3 linked regions of the Drosophila melanogaster genome follow. The protein of the gene in region 1 interacts with the protein of each later gene in a pairwise test. Each region holds a gene or a part of one and is shown in the gene's direction. Other genes may lie near its edges.

Evidence for each region.
Region 2: the proteins of CG8292 (region 1) and Vha14-1 interact in a two-hybrid assay, tested with the Drosophila melanogaster proteins (one large-scale study listed by BioGRID).
Region 3: the proteins of CG8292 (region 1) and CG31872 interact in a two-hybrid assay, tested with the Drosophila melanogaster proteins (one large-scale study listed by BioGRID).

The regions. Positions count from the first base shown.
Region 1 is NT_033779.5:8,214,903-8,219,977, reverse strand, and holds CG8292 (uncharacterized protein), read left to right. Parts: upstream 1-1,960; 5' UTR 1,961-2,078; coding exon 2,079-2,291; intron 2,292-2,353; coding exon 2,354-3,004; 3' UTR 3,005-3,127; downstream 3,128-5,075. Other genes in the region: Snx6 (sorting nexin 6), read left to right, coding at 1-108, 172-616, 680-862, 1,107-1,124, 1,299-1,408, 1,474-1,567; CG8349 (uncharacterized protein), read right to left, coding at 3,139-3,575, 3,635-3,992; CG8353 (uncharacterized protein), read right to left, coding at 4,864-5,075.
Region 2 is NT_033778.4:15,678,007-15,682,493, reverse strand, and holds Vha14-1 (vacuolar H[+] ATPase 14kD subunit 1), read left to right. Parts: upstream 1-2,409; 5' UTR 2,410-2,511; coding exon 2,512-2,886; 3' UTR 2,887-3,068; downstream 3,069-4,487. Other genes in the region: CG30091 (uncharacterized protein), read right to left, coding at 91-482, 550-680, 751-796, 852-1,588, 1,649-1,923; Gmppa (GDP-mannose pyrophosphorylase A), read left to right, coding at 3,667-3,914, 3,980-4,487. UniProt on the Drosophila melanogaster protein: Subunit of the V1 complex of vacuolar(H+)-ATPase (V-ATPase), a multisubunit enzyme composed of a peripheral complex (V1) that hydrolyzes ATP and a membrane integral complex (V0) that translocates protons.
Region 3 is NT_033779.5:10,637,490-10,644,958, forward strand, and holds CG31872 (uncharacterized protein), read left to right. Parts: upstream 1-2,441; 5' UTR 2,442-2,456; coding exon 2,457-4,604; intron 4,605-4,687; coding exon 4,688-5,227; intron 5,228-5,294; coding exon 5,295-5,450; intron 5,451-5,508; coding exon 5,509-5,886; 3' UTR 5,887-6,050; downstream 6,051-7,469. Other genes in the region: CG18284 (uncharacterized protein), read left to right, coding at 6,506-6,661, 6,856-6,996, 7,069-7,469.

The DNA.
Region 1 (5,075 bases):
ACCTCGTCCGGACTTCGATGCCTCCCGAGAGAAGCTGCAGCGTCTTGGCGAGGGCGAAGGCAACATGACCAAAGAGGAGTTCAAAAAGATGAAGTCAGAGCTGGAGGCGTAAGTGTCAATTAATCCAAATAGTCATTTTCTTATATACTAATGTACATCTTTACTTGCCAGTGAGTACCTAGCTACCTTCAAGAAGACGGTGGCCATGCACGAGGTTTTCCTGCGCCGCCTTGCTAGTCATCCCGTCTTTCGCGTCGATCAGCACTTGAAGGTTTTCCTGGAATACGACCAAGATCTGTGCGCTAAGCCACGCAAGAAGATGGCCATCTTTGGCGGCTTTGTCAAGTCCCTGGGCAAGACCACAGACGAGATCTTGTTGAGCGCCACGGTTCGGGATGTAAATGACTTCTTTGAGAACGAGCTGCAGTTCCTTACCGAGTACCACGGCCACTTGCGCGAGGCAGCACTCAGGACGGAGAAAATGACGCAACGCCACAAGGATGTAGGCGACTCGCATCAGAAGATTTCGAATGCGTTGACGCAGCTCTCGACTACGGAAAAGGGAAATGTGGAGACGTTTGTGGCCAAGACAGCGGAGATATTTGAAAGGATCAAGGTGCGCTACGCTGCGTTTTCGCTATAATTATATTTTATAAATTTTCCTCTTGATATTTTAAAGAATCTGGAAACCCGAGTGGCTAGCGATCAAGATCTCAAGCTGGGCGACACTCTGCGCTACTATCAGCGGGATAGCGACGCTGCCAAAGCTCTACTTATCCGGCGACTGCGGTGTTTGGCTGCTTATGAAGCGGCCAATCGAAACCTGGAGAAGGCTCGCTCCAAAAACAAGGATGTTCATGCGGTAAGATTGAGGGATGATCACAACTAGTTCTTCCAGAACTATGTTTCAGATCGTTTAAAGAGCAATTGTTTTCCCTACAAAAAGTTTCCAGCGGGTCAATTAATTCTCACGCTTCACTAATTACAAATAACAAATTATTTGCGTTCTTGTATTTTATTGCTACCGTACACAACCTCACAACTCTCTGATCTGCCTGTCCCTCCCTCTTCACTTTTTGTGCGTGTTTGTGGTTCTGTTTCTGCAGCCGTTGGAGGTGCAAGAGGTATTTGGCATTTAACGTTTTAACCGTCGGTTTAGTAGATGTGTCGCCACCCCACGTAAATGCTGCATGCGCTCCACCGTTGCTCAATCTGTTGTATTCACTTTAGCATGCCCTTGCTGTGGCCCACTTGTTGTGTTCCCTGTATATAATCGTTTTTGTTTATCCTCCAATTAGGCCGAGACTGCCCAGGCGGAGGCCTGTGAAAAATTCGAATCTATGTCTGCATGTGGAAAGGAGGAGTTGATCGGTTTCCGCAACCGACGGGTAGCTGCTTTCAAGAAGAGGTGAGTCAGCAGCTGCTAAACATTTTGCTATGCTCTGCATTTTATTATCGCTTTTCTAAACACAGCCTCGTCGAGCTCTCAGAGCTGGAGATCAAGCATGCCAAGACGCAGTATGAATATCTGCGCCAATCACTGCTAGCGCTCAAAGAGATTGCCTGAGACGGGGAGCCGGAAGTAGACAAGGAATAGAAGGATGAGTCACCCGCACATTGTTTACACACCCCATTGAAACGCAAGCCTCATCGATTACACACATCCGGGAGACGAAGTAAATCAATTGTTTAATTGCTAAGCAAACAGTTTATTATTGCACAGGCCAAATCGAGTGCAACATTATTATCTTAGCCCACGTATTATATTAACGAATATTCATTTGTTTTGTGAACAGAGCGCTTTTATATTTGTCAAACAAGCATTCCTCTCTACAGCATAAACTACAACTACATATATTGTAAACACTTGCATTTGAAGCAGAATATAAACGAGAAATATTGTACAGAAGGCTGGCTGTTTGTGAGCAGTCAGTATACTAGCATTGTTTGGAGTCTATTCGGTAACTGGGCAACATCAAGGGTTTCCAAATTAAGCGTCTCAAGGGGTGCACATTTCCATTGTCGCTGAAAATTGTGTTTGTTGTCAGTGTTAGATAGATTTTCAAAGTCCATAAGCCATGGATGAGTTCGGCGTCTTCGATTACAAGCGCCCTGCCAGCGCTACAGATCCCGATTGGAGGACCTCGTACTATCGAGGGCATCGCCACATTACAGACTTGAGAATGGGTAACAAGCTGAACGCCAAGTTTACGGATAAGGGTATTTATGTAAAAGATCCGCTGCTGTCCGAGAAGCCGACTTCTGAGTGCATGGCCAACTATGTGTGGCAGGTGAGTTGATTGATATGCTGAGATATGTTGCACCAAACTAAAACGTGACCATGATGTTCCAGTATAACGATCCCAACGCACTTAGAAATCCCTCGCTCAACATGAAAACACAGTATATGAAACCATTTGAGGAGGGTTCCCTTCGCTTTGTAAAGCGAAAGATGAAGCCCATTTCTAGTGTCAGTCATGAGTCGTATGTACTTAAGGAGCTGCCGGAGGAACAGGAAATATTGCCTGTAACAATGCCCACTCCGGTGGTAGCCACCAAGCTAGTCATCGACCGTTCGGAGGCGTCCTTTAGCAAGTACCTTGATCCCTCCTCCACCACATACAATCTGTCGTATGTGCGCTGGGGTCCCGAGGACTTGTGTGGCGGAGTAGCTGCCCACGACAATATTACATACTGGAATTGGACGGAGAAGATGCCGCCCATCCAGAAAGTGTCCCGCGAAGAGGATCCTACAATGTGTGACGAGGGTAATACGCATAATTGCCCAAAGCGACGCTGTGAGTTTCAAAACCTCACCAAACGAGTGCCGCATTCGGGAATGGTCACCGAGGTGCGCGCTAATTTCACGGATCCACAATTTCGAAGGGTTGAATTCGATCCAGAAGTTAAGCCCATACTCGTGCACGAGGAAGTCACTCCGTTTGCGGAGAAAAGCGAATACGGCATCTACGGATCGGGAGAACCAGTTATCAAATACGTTTAGTTCTCTACACATTGTTTTGACTTTTTGTCAAGTTAATCAGATCGCTAACTTAAATTATTTGCAATACTTATTGACATTAGAACGAATAATTTTATTGCATTAAATAAATTCTGGATATTATTTAGATGAAAATTTCATTCAAATGAGTTAAAGCTGTGGGGAAGCAGATGGTAGGCGGACGTGACCAGCACTTCAGCTTCGTCCGGAATTGAAGGAATGCAGTTCTCTTGCTCCGGCGGCGGAGCCTTGGCAATGTAGATAGGAATATCATTTTGGATGAACTCCAAAATGAACTGCCGGCAGACTCCGCAAGGTGTGGTAAACCCATCTGGGTGATAGGCTACCACAGCACCCGCCGTATACTTCTTCTCGCCCTCGCTGATACCCTTGGCCAGGGCACAACGCTCCGCACAATTGCCTGGAGTGAAAGCTACGTTCTCGATGTTGCAGCCCGCGTAGATCCTGCCGCACTTCGCACGGAAGGCTGCTCCCACTTTGAATTTGCTGTAGGGCGCATAGGCACATCGACGGGCAGAAAGAGCCGCCTCTAGCAGCTCCCGGCCATCCTCACCTGGAGATTACGGTTTGATTACCAATGGCAGAGGATTCACCATTATAGCCAAGCCTTACCAACAGCACAGAACGCTACTGTGTACTCCTCCAACATCTGTGGATGTGGCAGGTTTTCGGATTCACTAGCCCGACCCCTGTCGCCATTTAGACGCGCCTCCCTGCGTGCTAGCTCGCATAGAAATCCCTCCAAGGTCATCATATACTTTCCCAGTACCTTTCGAAGATTCTTCTGGCGCAAGTTCTTGATCTTACCGCCAGCGCACTTGGTGCCAGATTGCTCCTGGCGACGAGCTAGCTTCGCCTGCAACATTTCCAGTTCCTTCATCTTCTTCTCCAGCTCTTTTCGCTTCAGCTCATCCTGTAGGTCGCTCAGGTTCCGCATGTAGCGCTGAAGGAGCTTCCGCTTTTCGGACATTTTGCAGAACTTCAAATTTTTAAAACGAAAACAATTTTTGAAAGCCAGAAGCAAATGCTGTATCTGTTGGCAATTTGTAAAACACTAATGTCAAACAAATTATTTTCTTTTTGTTTCTTTTTCATAAAAATGATTATATTATATTATTTAGCGCCATTTGAATTTTTATTACATTTATTACAGTTGATGTTCATTAAGGCATTTAATGAAACAACAACAACAACTAAATACGTTTAAAATTTTTACAAATTAAGAATGTCGAAAAAGCTCGCGCGTTTTCGACGCGTTTCGGACGCGTTTTGAACGCGCCTTTATCGCGACATCGGTCTAGCCAGTCTGTCTTATTGTTCGTATGAACATCATGATCTCAAAAACTAGAATCCAAAGGAATTGGAAACAAACCTTATAAATTTGATTTAAAAGATTGCCACTACCACAATGATCTTTCTTATTTTCGCTACTATACAAATGGCGAAATTTAATCTCACAATAATTTGGTGTTTATGAATCAGAAGTTGAGTGCATTTATCACGTCATCACAAATCGGGGCATTCCCTGCATTGCGCTTAACGTCAGCAGTTGTCAATCCAAATTCGATATCTTTAATTTATAACCTTAATTTTGATATATAATCAAAAGCGATTAAACACCTTTTCCTAGAATCTTTCACTGTGTCAATCTTTCCAGCATTTATATCCCCATTTCCTATTCATTGATCGAAAAAAAAACATTAAACACTGCTAAGTAGTGTAATTTTCTTTATTGCAAGTGATTAGATCAAAATTATATTGATTAGAGGCAGCAAGGGGTTGAGAAACAACCTTTACCTAGCTACCTTCTGCCTATTTTCGGTTCTTGCCTGCAGTGGTCGTTACTTTCGATAGGTGTGAAAACTGCTCGGCAACAGATTAAAGATTGAGGTGCACATGACGGGATCGTCACTCTGCAAAAGTTCCTGCTTTTCAGCAATCCTCGCATCGATCGCCTGGGCCACATATATGGGTATATCCGCGTTGGCAAACTCGCGTATAAACTGACGACAAACGCCGCAAGGAGTGGTGAATACATTAGGTTCGTAGGCCA
Region 2 (4,487 bases), on another chromosome or scaffold:
ATATGAAATTTTTGATATTATTATTACTATTAACTTTATTAAATCAAATGGTTTTCATATCGCAGAACTTAAAACTTTTCAAAGAATTCTCTACGCCTTAACCATTTCCCCGATCCAGTCCAAGTATTCGAGAACATTGGTGTAGACATTTGAAGCGAAAGGCTCTAACCTGCCAAAGCTCGCCAGTCCGACCAGGCTGAATGCCCTCCTGTTTCCGTGGGTTAGAGGGTTTACCAAGGGACTGCCAATGCCCACGCGCAGGAGATGAGGAGAAGGGCTTTCCATGCACAACTGTTGCTCTCCGATGTCTTGGTGATCCTCCCGGTAGCACTTACTGGCATTTGTTCGCCGCACCACCACGTTAGTCGGCGTGCCCCAGCCAACGGCTATGAGATTCAGGGCGGGATCAGCAGCACGCCTTTGGAACTTCTGCTGCTCCGCTTTGTTGCTTAGCGAGGGCAGGCAGATCGGTCGAATCGATTCTAGCCGCATAAAATGAACACATTATGATTATGAAGCTAATCCGTATGGCCTTTGGAAGACACTCACCCGTGTACTGCACTTCCTCGCCCAGTTTAAGCAGAGCTATGTCGTTTTGGGCCAGGCTAACGAATTTGGGATGCTTGTGAACAGATGCGACAGCGTAGGTATGCACATCGCCTTGTCCCAGTTGAACCTTTCTAGATGTATGTACATACAATTGCACTCAGATTACTCAACTTTCTCCTCCCAAGGGATCAAAGTACTTACAATGCCGTACTTTCGGAAATCAACTGCGCCGTTGTCACCACGAAAGCTACAAGAAGAACACATTAGTAATCTTTTCGAATGAGGAAAGAAAAGATGACAACTTTTCGAAATAAGTGCGCCGTTTGAGATTATAAAGGAATCCTTGTAGACCTCAGCCAACCACTCGAAGGACCTGATCGCATCGGGACCACTTCTATCCCAGCTGTTCAACGTGTCGTTGCCCAGACACCCAGCATCGAGTAGGTCTATATAGGGTAGCACCACCTCAATGTCCGCATCCAGAACAATGCGCTCGATAAAGTCGATATGGCCCATTACATCGGTGTACATACCGAAACCTCTGCAATCTTCGGTGCCAGTGCTGACGATTCCCAACTGCGTTGCTCGCTTGATGCCATCGAACAACATATGTATGTACAAGGGTCCACCGGAGTCCCTTTTGCAGGTATCTCTGCCTACCGCGGTGCCGGCACAGAACATTGGGTAATCAAAAGTGTACCAAAATGCTGCCTCGCACATTTTCCTATCTATTCTGTAGATCTTGACCATTTGAAGATTGTTACTCATCTTCCCATTGCCCGTTACGCCCCAGCCGATTGCTGTGAACTCCTGGATGAGATCCGTTTGCGGCTTGAGTTGGTCGTTCAGTAAAATACATAACGGTTTGATTTGTGGCTTGTAAACGATACTTTTTTGCAACCTAAGAAGCGCTATGTCATTGCGATAGTTTTGTATCGCGAAGGAATCGTGGATGTAGACCCTCTCCACGTTGTATATCTCGTGGGGATGATTGTGTTCACCCGTCGCCAGTAGATGGTACACACCCAAGGTAACTGTGCTGCAAATCACATATAATTATTCAATTATATTATATTATTTATTAATTTAAGGTGCTTACAGCTGAGTGTACTTTACAATGCATTCCTCATCGGTGCACATACAATGAGCGGCCGTCAAGACGAATTTGTTAGTAATTACCGATCCTCCGCAGATAAATTCGTCATTGGTTTTTATGAGGGCCATCCACGGATTCTTCAGTTCCCCCGCATCCACTCCACCTACAATCTTCGGTATTAATTGCATCGGAACTCCACAATCCTCGTCCAAAAGGCGGGCCGATCCTCGTCCCGCCGTCAGCATCCAAGCGAATAAAACAACCCAAGCTCTGCACATTTCCAGTGAAAACCTTCAAACACACTGAAAGTGAGCTGCTGTGCGTCGTGAATTTGAAGAAAAGCTTATCAGCTATGAGAATGCTGTTTCTATTAATATTTTTACTCTTATCAGAAAGAGCGGGATTTTACCAAAATGTTTTTAGCGCTAAATAACTTGACCTTTTTGAACAACTGAAAAATTAAGAATTTTAGATCCAAATTTTCAGAAAAATGGATATTTTTCTTAAAACCAGAATATAATTTATGGCAAGCTACTTCTTAATTCCTGGAATTTAAAACACATTTAAAACTAATACGCTCGATTAGCAATAAAAAAAACATTAAAGCTCTTAACAGTATTTTCATTTATTTAAAAATCACAAATAACACTGTGCCTTACGGTCACACCATCAGAAGATACCGTTACGCTACGGTACTAAAATACCTACTAAGAATACCAATGCGGTGCTGTTAGGCGCCTTCCAGTGCTGTAGACCGCAACTGTGTCATGTGATAGAGACCAGCTGACCCGTACATTTTCCAGAGTTAGGTTTTAATTTCGCTGTCCACATCGCTCGTAAGAAAAAATTAGAAAAAACCAATCGAAATGGCTCTGCACTCGGCAATCAAGGGAAAACTGATCAGCGTTATCGGCGACGAGGACACCTGTGTGGGCTTTCTGCTCGGCGGAGTGGGCGAGATCAACAAGAATCGCCATCCCAACTTTATGGTGGTCGACAAAAATACGGCCGTCAGCGAACTGGAGGACTGTTTCAAGCGTTTCCTTAAGCGGGACGATATCGACATCATTCTAATCAACCAGAACTGCGCCGAGCTTATTCGTCATGTGATCGATGCCCATACGTCGCCCGTGCCCGCTGTTTTGGAGATTCCCTCCAAGGACCATCCGTACGACGCCAGCAAGGACTCCATTCTGCGTCGCGCCCGCGGCATGTTCAATCCGGAGGATCTGGTGCGCTAATTCCTCGAATTCTGCTCGAGGACACTGTTTCGTATTGCTGCAACCGCCAGAGAATTGCTTTACACCCTGTAAACAACTATCCATAGATTCAGTGCTTCGCCTTTGTTCTTATCGTGTATTTAAAGACATTTATTAAATGGTTTTCGTTGTATAAATAGATTAAAATCAAATTGTTCCAAATCAAATACTGGAAGTCTGATATCTGGAGGTTTTCCATTGAAAGGTCTTTCCAGCTATGTCAAGTAACAGTCTTCCAGCAAAGATACAGTGCGCATTCGATAGGTCAAAAATATATTAAGCCACTAAATTGGTGTTCATCCTTACAACTCTCATTTGCAGATTTGTAAGAAATCTAATTTTTGGCAATGGCATTGGTTATTTATTTATCAATTTGTTGCCAGAATAATTTTTTTTACCAGTAGATAAGAAACTTGATTAACAGTATGCCCCGCATAAATGTGGTATCTAGAATTTTCATTAAAATAAATTAGCTATTAAATTTTGAAATTAGATTAGCTGTGTTAAATGTTCCATACATTTTCAATGAGTTTGGTGTTGCTGATTTTAAGGCTAAAGGAATATCTTGTATAAATTTACCAGATAACAAGTTCAGCGTGCTGTTAAGTCTGTTATCAGCTATTCCAAGGGCTGTTAGCGCAATCAGCTGTTGTAGAGCGGAGTATTTTCTAGCTGGCAACGTAAACATAAAATATATCTTTCTGAGAACCTGGCCACAAGTTGATCGATCGTCATTAGTCATCTTACCGCTGCACGCACACCATGCTAAAGGCCGTTATCCTGATCGGCGGTCCCCAGAAGGGCACCCGCTTTCGCCCCCTTTCGCTTGACACGCCCAAGCCGCTCTTTCCATTGGCCGGTCGTCCTCTAATCGCCCATCATATTGAGGCCTGCGCCCAGCTGCCCGATATACGCGAGATCCTGATCATCGGCTATTATCCGCAGACCCAAATGGAGGGATTCGTGGGCGACATGCAGGCCCTGTACAGCAGCAGCAACATCAACATCAGGTGGGAAGAGGGGCTTTGGAAGAACTTGAATCTTAAGTTCCAAGTTGACCTACCCTTTATCATAGGTACCTTCAGGAGTTCACTGCCTTGGGCACTGCAGGCGGAATGTACCATTTCCGGGATCAGATTAGAGCTGGTAACCCCCGAGCCTTCTTCGTATTGAACGGAGATGTTTGCGCTGATTTTCCGCTGCAAGAACTGTGCGACTTTCACGAGAAGCGCCCGGCGAGTGCTCTGGTTACTATCATGTCCACGGAGGCGACACGTCAGCAATCCTTGCACTACGGCTGTCTGGTTTTCGATCGGAGTAGCGGAGCCGTTTCGCATTATGTAGAAAAGCCTAGCTCCTATGTGTCCACATTTATCAACTGTGGGGTGTATGTCTGTTCCATGGATATATTCACGGTGTTGGCACAGATTTTTCATTCGAGAGGTCAGGAGTACAGCTGCCAGGCATTTTGCAATGGAAACGGAAATGGAAATGGACGAGAGCAGGGGCACATCAAGTGGGAACAGGAGGTGCTTACGCCCCTGGCTGGAACCGATAAACTCTTTGCCATGCCAGTGCCTAAC
Region 3 (7,469 bases), 2.4 Mb from region 1:
ATACAAAAGTCGGGGAAAATAAATAAAAATGGAGTGGAGTGAAGTGGACCAGTGCGGAGCGGAGCGGAGAAAGCCCAAAAGAAATGGCGAGCGGAAAGAAGTGGCCATGAATGCAGTGACAAGAACAACAACAGCGACAGCTGGAGATAGTATTCCCTTGTTCCATGGAAAAACTGCATAAATATCGCTACAAGGACCCTGGACAAACGCCAATCGAAAGTTGCGTTGGCTGGCCGAAATGAATGTACGAGTCTCGTTTCAAAAACTTAGAAGTGCATAAATTGGGCCTGTGAATTTAAATACTATATATATATATATATTTCAGCGAACTCTCGAAGTGCCACAATGTGGGCCAAATTCTTAGCATTCACCTCGATGGTTGTATAACTTCATGTCTTGACGAAAAGGGCGAAGCTTTTCCTTTGATTGTGTGGCGATTTCGTTGGCCAATGGAGCATGAAATTACTGAGGGGTGTGCCGCCGGCAAAGGGGGGGGGGGGCTGTACTTGTGTGAACATGGAAAACGCTCACATAACCAGGCAAAAAATACACTCAGAAAAAGAAAATCTCACAAGCATCAATTCAGAACATGCTTTCCTGGATGAAACTGTTTAGAATGTAATTTTTAAATCCCCAGAGATTAGCTCTAGTGGTATTAATTATAAAATGGAAATCTACTAATAGTTATATCTCTTACCTAAAAGTAAAAAAAAGTGTTAAATTTCAACCATCTTACTTGTTCAAGTGCACCAAGGTTCGAATGTTACAATCTTCATACCACTTAAGACTGCGTCGCGTTCTGCTCGAGTGCAAAGGGGTAACGATTGAAGATTGAACTCAGGAGTTCAGGAGCAACTGAGGCAGTCGAAAGTCACACCAATTGCGATTGACTGGGATTCCGGAAGGTGTCCATCGGGCGTGACACTGGCGGTGAGTGAAACTACATGTGTGGGAAGCCCAAAGGAAATACATTGAACAACCAGAACAATTAACTAATAACACAAAGAGCAATCATATCAATGCGATACGCCAGTGAAACCGATTTCCACAGTCCACATTACTAATTGAAAATACTCGTGACGGAATCCGATAACCGATGGCATCCAAATGCTGGCCATAAAGGGTGAAATCGCTCGTTAGCCCTCCACATGACCGTTAAGTGTCTCTGCCCAGCCTGATTCCTGGAACCCAACCGCCATATGCTTATATGGCATGACTGTGGGCTGAGCGCCCCAGTGTCATCATTACCATGACTAGGATTACGATTACTGTCATCGTCGTGTCATCACAAACACACGCAGACTTAGCGAGCGTCTTTATGGCTTTTGGCGTTGAAATGATAAGTAAAGTTTTTGCAGAACGTAGCGAACATTTTCCGGACATGGGGCTTATGTCCATGCTGGAAACATATGGCATATTGCCAGGCGAAACATTTAATGGTCTGCAAAATGGCCCGGGCCGGGACATTAAAAGTTGCTTAACCTTCATTAGGCGCCCGATTCCGCATCCGAATCCGACTGACGGCGAGATGAAATTTAATATATGTCAGGTCCCGACATCGGAGGGCTTAATGCCCCATTTGTGCAGGGCGCCACTGCATCCAAATGATGGTGCCAGAAAAAAAAAGCAAATCACCGCAAGTTGGCATGGAGCTTTAATCAGCCCAGCAGGCAAAAGGGCTAGTGGTGGTGGACAGGAGGGGGTGGTATTAAAGGGGCGCAAGGACACTAGGCAAACTCAATTTCGAGCTTGTTTCACGGGACAACGACCACGCCCAACCCGACCCACCAGAGGCGCTAATGCGGCGACATGGCATTATCCTTCTTCCTTTCGCGACTTCTTTCCCGACTTTTCCGACCACGGCTGCACTCTCCTTGGGTATTTTGATAATCAAATTTGCGCAAACAAGCGAGTGGCGTGAATTTGCCAACGCCACCGGAACAAGGACGAAACAAGGACCAAGGATAATAACGGTTGCGCCTCGTGCACTTGTGCAATTAGATTGTCAAAAGTTCAGTAACTTTACCCAAACCGAAGCGCCTTAAATTCTCCATTGTTCTTCTTTAAATTACAGTTTCACTATTTTTGATTTTAGATGGTAATAAAAAAATCAAGTGTATCCTTAAGCTTCTACTTAACATAATTAGTTATTTAAGTTCGATTAAATGAAAAATCCGCAAACCACACACTTGATCTATATCTTGTGTTTGTAACTGGGAAGCTAAGGCAAAAAAAAAAACACTTATTCAATACCAAATCCTGGAATTGTAACAATAAAATGTATTTTCAAGAAGCCCATCAATCTTGCTGTCCCAACTCATTTGCCACTTGTGATGTAACATCGAGAGATAATCCATTTAAAATCGCTTTAATCCATGTGTTATCAATTTCATGGCATTTCATTTGCGAGCCTATAAAAGGCTCCTTTCCGATTCGCTGCTAAAAGTAGTTTCAGAATGCAGTTAGGATTCCTTTACGCATTCGTTGCGCTCTTGGCGATATTTCGAGTGGAACCCAGCGAGGGAATTATTGATATAAACAATCAATTGAACAATATTATAAGCCCCCCGATCCTTCCTGCGGTTGAGAGCATATTGGACATCAATGGCGATGCAGATTCAACAGAAGATGAGCAAAAGGTGCGCTTGCAAAGAGAATCCATTGTAAAAGATTACGGATTCGTGTTTAAACCTCAACCAATAGTCTTGGAAAGTAATTCAAGCTATAAGCCCTCAGTTGAATCTGAAGGACAGGCCCAATCGTTTAGCCGAGGGCTTGAAGAAGCGAAGCTTCAAATCCAAAAGCAATCTCAATCACAATCGCAGGCTCAAGGTCTAGGTCAATCACAGCAACAAATCCAATACGCGAATATAGCCAGAACTAAAGTCCAAAAACAATTCCAATCGCAACAACTAGGACTGGCTCAATCGCAGCAACAGACCCAGATTCAACAATCACTGAATCAAGATGGAGCTAAATTACGAGAAAAACCTTATCCGCATATTCAAACTTCATCACAAAGAAACGCCGATGATCCAGAAAGTGAAGAAGCTGAAGCACCAGGAGGACTGTCGGGAAAAATAGCTTTAGTACCACCAAATGAAGAGGGAGATCAAAAGCAAGACCAGGCTCAATCACAGATTGAAGATGAAGCTGAAGTTCTTAGACAAGGTCTGGCGCAAACGGAATCTCAAATTCAGAATCAAAGACAAGGACTGGAAAAGGAGATACAAGGGCAATCCCAATCGCAGGATCAAGCTCAATCCCAAGATGAGGCTATTAATCCAGAATCGGCAAACGCTGAAAATCGATCATCACAGCAATCGGGAGATGTAGCAGAGAATCAGGACCAAGCTGAATCACAGGCTCAAGAGCGGTCACAATTGCAGTTAGAGGGTCAAGAACAGTCCCAAGATCAAGCACAATCGCAAGATCAATCGCAGGCTCTGGAAAAAGGGGGTGCACCGCCTCTATCACCACAACAATCGCTAGTTCAAGCAGAGGATCAAGCACAAGAAGATCCCATAGACCAATCACTTCATCAAGCGCAATCTGAAGTACTAAACCAAGTTAAGTCGCAGACTAACGGTCAATTAAAGGCTCAAGCTCAAATGCAAGCTCAAGTTCTCGATCAGGCTCTGGAAGATGCGCATGTTCAATATCAATCTCAGGCTCAATCACAAGGAATATCACTGTCTCAAACGACGCAACAATCGCTGGTCGAACCAGACGATCAAGCAAAGGAAGACCCCGTAGATCAATCACTTCATCAAGCCCAAAGTGAAATAATAAAACAACTTCTGTCACAGACTAACGATCAAGACAAGGCTCAAGCTCAAGCGCAAGCTCAGACTCTCGATCAGGCTCTAGAAGAAGCTCATGTTCAATATCAATCTCAGACTCAAGCACAAGGAACTCCAATCTTTCAACCACCACAACTTCAACCAGAGGATCGAGATCAAGATACCGCTTTAGACCAATCTCCGACGCAAGCTCAATTGGATGCTCAATCCCAATCACAAGAACAAGCGAATACTAAGCTTCAGCGGAAATCTCAAGCCCAATCAGAAGCTCATGGTATAATTCTTACAACCTTGAGGAAAGCGCAAGCGCAACAGCAATCTGAAGTTCAATCACCGCAGCAAGAACCACTTCGATCTGATGATCAATCAGGCGATCAAGCTGGGGATGTAGCGCAAAATACCGCTTTGGACCAATCACTACATCAAGCCCAAGCTGAAGTACAAGAGCAACTTCAATCACAGACTCAAGCCTCAGGTACATCACTAACGCAATCCCAACAGCAATCCCAAGTTCAAGCAGTTGAAGCGCTTGCACAATCACTAACTCAAGCCCATGCTCAAATCCAGGAGCAAGCTCAATCACAATCACAATCGCAAGAGCAAGATCAATCACAATCACAAGCTCCCAACGAGAGGCAATCGCAATTACAATCACAACGTCAAGACCAAGATCAGGGCCCCAAATTTGATGATGATCTTGACGAACAACCTGCTCCAAGGTCATGTTCACAGTGCCAGAAAGCTAGTTACCCACAATACATTACGGAAGTGGACATCGAGATTGACGCCAAGCTGGACACGGTGAGCCATTTCACTCAAGAGATTCCATGGGGACAGCAGTTACTATAATAAAGGTTTCTATATATTTCTCTATCATTTGACAGCCCAAAATGATCTCAAAATATGGCCATCAAGCAGAGACCCATTACGCATTCACTGCCGACGGCTACAAGCTCTGCCTGCATCGGATTCCGCGATCTGGAGCCACACCCGTCCTATTGGTCCATGGCCTCATGGCCAGCTCGGACACTTGGGTGCAGTTCGGTCCATCCCAGGGTCTGGCCTATATCCTGTCCCAAAGCGGCTACGACGTCTGGATGTTGAACACTAGGGGTAACGTTTACTCAGAGGAGCGCCTGGCCGGTCGGGAGAGCGACAAGATCTTCTGGGACTTCTCCTTCCACGAGATCGGGCAGTACGATCTACCCGCTGCCATCGACTTGATCCTGCTGCAGACTAAAATGCCGAGCATCCAGTACATTGGTCACTCGCAGGGATCCACGGCCTTCTTTGTGATGTGTAGTGAAAGACCTGAGTATGCAGGCAAGATCTCATTGATGCAGTCCCTCTCGCCATCAGTTTATATGGAAGGAACACGCAGTCCAGCACTCAAGTTTATGAAAGTTCTTCAGGGTGGCTTCACAGTAAGTACAGGAGAAGTTTAAAAGGTATATCATTTCTATATGGTTCGATATATATTCAATATTATAGATGCTGCTTAATCTCCTGGGCGGCCACAAGATCTCCCTGAAAAACCGGATCGTTGACATGTTCCGTAACCACATCTGCAACAAGCTTATCCCCAGTCGCATCTGTGCCATCTTTGAATTTGTGGTCTGTGGATTTAACTTCAACAGCTTCAATATGGTAGAAAACAAGTCCCTGATTTTGTTTTCAAGGGTTCAGATATTACCTTCTTTTGTAGACACTATCCCCCATTTTGGAAGGTCACGCCTCGCAGGGAAGCTCCGCCAAGCAGATCTATCATTTCGCCCAATTGCAGGGCAATTCTGCTTTCCAAAAGTACGACTACGGGCTAATTCTGAATAAGATACGCTACCAGTCGATCTTTCCCCCACTTTACAACCTTTCCCTGGCACTGGGCAAGGTGGCTCTTCACCGCGGAGATGGCGACTGGTTGGGATCCGAATCGGATGTCCTTCGACTGGAGCGGGACCTGCCCAACTGCATAGAAAACAGGAACATTCGCTTCGAAGGATTCTCGCACTTCGACTTCACGATTTCGAAGGATGTTCGATCCTTGGTCTACGATCGCGTAATCGATTTGTGCGGTTCAAATTGAACTTTTAGCTTACGAATGAAATATTAGCAAATCAATTAATAGATTTGCTTGGCACATATGTGAAATTGCCTTTTCCTAAGGGCTCGGAAATAAATATAATTTTTATTAAGGGAAATTAAATATATACAAATATTTTACAATTTTCCCAGCTGTAATAAAGAAAGACTTTTATTATGATAATCGAAAATATGGAAATGAATAAACCGACAAAAGTCGCCAGTGTTTAGGGTGAATTCAGGCCAGAGACAATTGTTATGTTTTTATCCGTGTTATTTAATGAGGTCACAAATCAATCAAACAAAATACTAAAGAATAACGATACCTATCATACTAAGTACAATCTTCTTTTACGATTAATTATGATCAACCTGTAATTCAAGCTCCTTTAAAAAGTTACGATATCTTTACATCTAGCTGCTTGAATACAAAAAATGTATTTATTAAACCCTTGATCAAGGTTGCCCTTTGTTAAATATTACTTTAGTGATGCTCGATCGATATGTTAATCTAGTTATTCACTCCAAGCATGGATATTTTAATTTCAGGGTATTTTATCATTAACGCTATAAAAGAGTTCGATTTCATTTCTGCCTTCGAGAGTAGACAAGAAGGGAACGAAATGGCGATCGCATTTAATATTGCGATCTATGCAATAATTTTAGTGGGTAGTTTGGTACCCAGCAAGACTCAGGAATGGGTTCCATATGCATATCCTGTAGATGAAAATCAAGGATTGAATGAACAGACACAGTGGCAGTCACAATCACAGATTCAGGTAAACAAAGAGAGTGCAAAGCAGCTAAGATCCGTTGGACCTAGAACAACCACTACCTAAAAAACCCAAGCTTACCGTCAAGGGTAAACTCAATCACAGTCGCAAGATTTATTGTAAGGACGTGCTTAATCACCTATAAACTACAATCACAACCTCTCAATCGGAAGCCTAATCAAGCGTAATTCCCATTTCAGAGTCAAGGGACGTCACAATCACAAAGTCAAGCTCAAATTCAATCACAGCCTGAACCAAGGTCATGTTTACAATGTCAACAAGCTAGTTACCAACAATTCTTTGCGGAGGTGGACATCCAGATCGACGCCAAGCTGGAGACGGTGAGCCATACCACTCATAAGATTACACTTGGACAGCATGCAGTAACTATATATTTTTCTATCGTTTGACAGCCCAAAATGATCTCAAAATATGGACATCAAGTAGAGACCCATTACGCATTCACTGCCGACGGCTACAAGCTCTGCCTGCATCGGATTCCGCGGTCTGGAGCTACACCCGTCCTATTGGTCCATGGCCTGATGGCCAGCTCGGCCACTTGGGTGCAGTTCGGTCCATCCCAGGGTCTGGCCTACATCCTGTCCCAAAGCGGCTACGACGTCTGGATGTTGAACACAAGGGGTAACGTTTACTCGGAGGAGCGCCTGGCCGGTCGGGAGAGCGACAAGATCTTCTGGGACTTCTCCTTCCACGAGATCGGGCAGTACGATCTACCCGCTGCCATCGACTTGATCCTGCTGCAGACTAAAATGCCGAGCATCCAGTACATTGGTCACTCGCAGGGATCCACGGC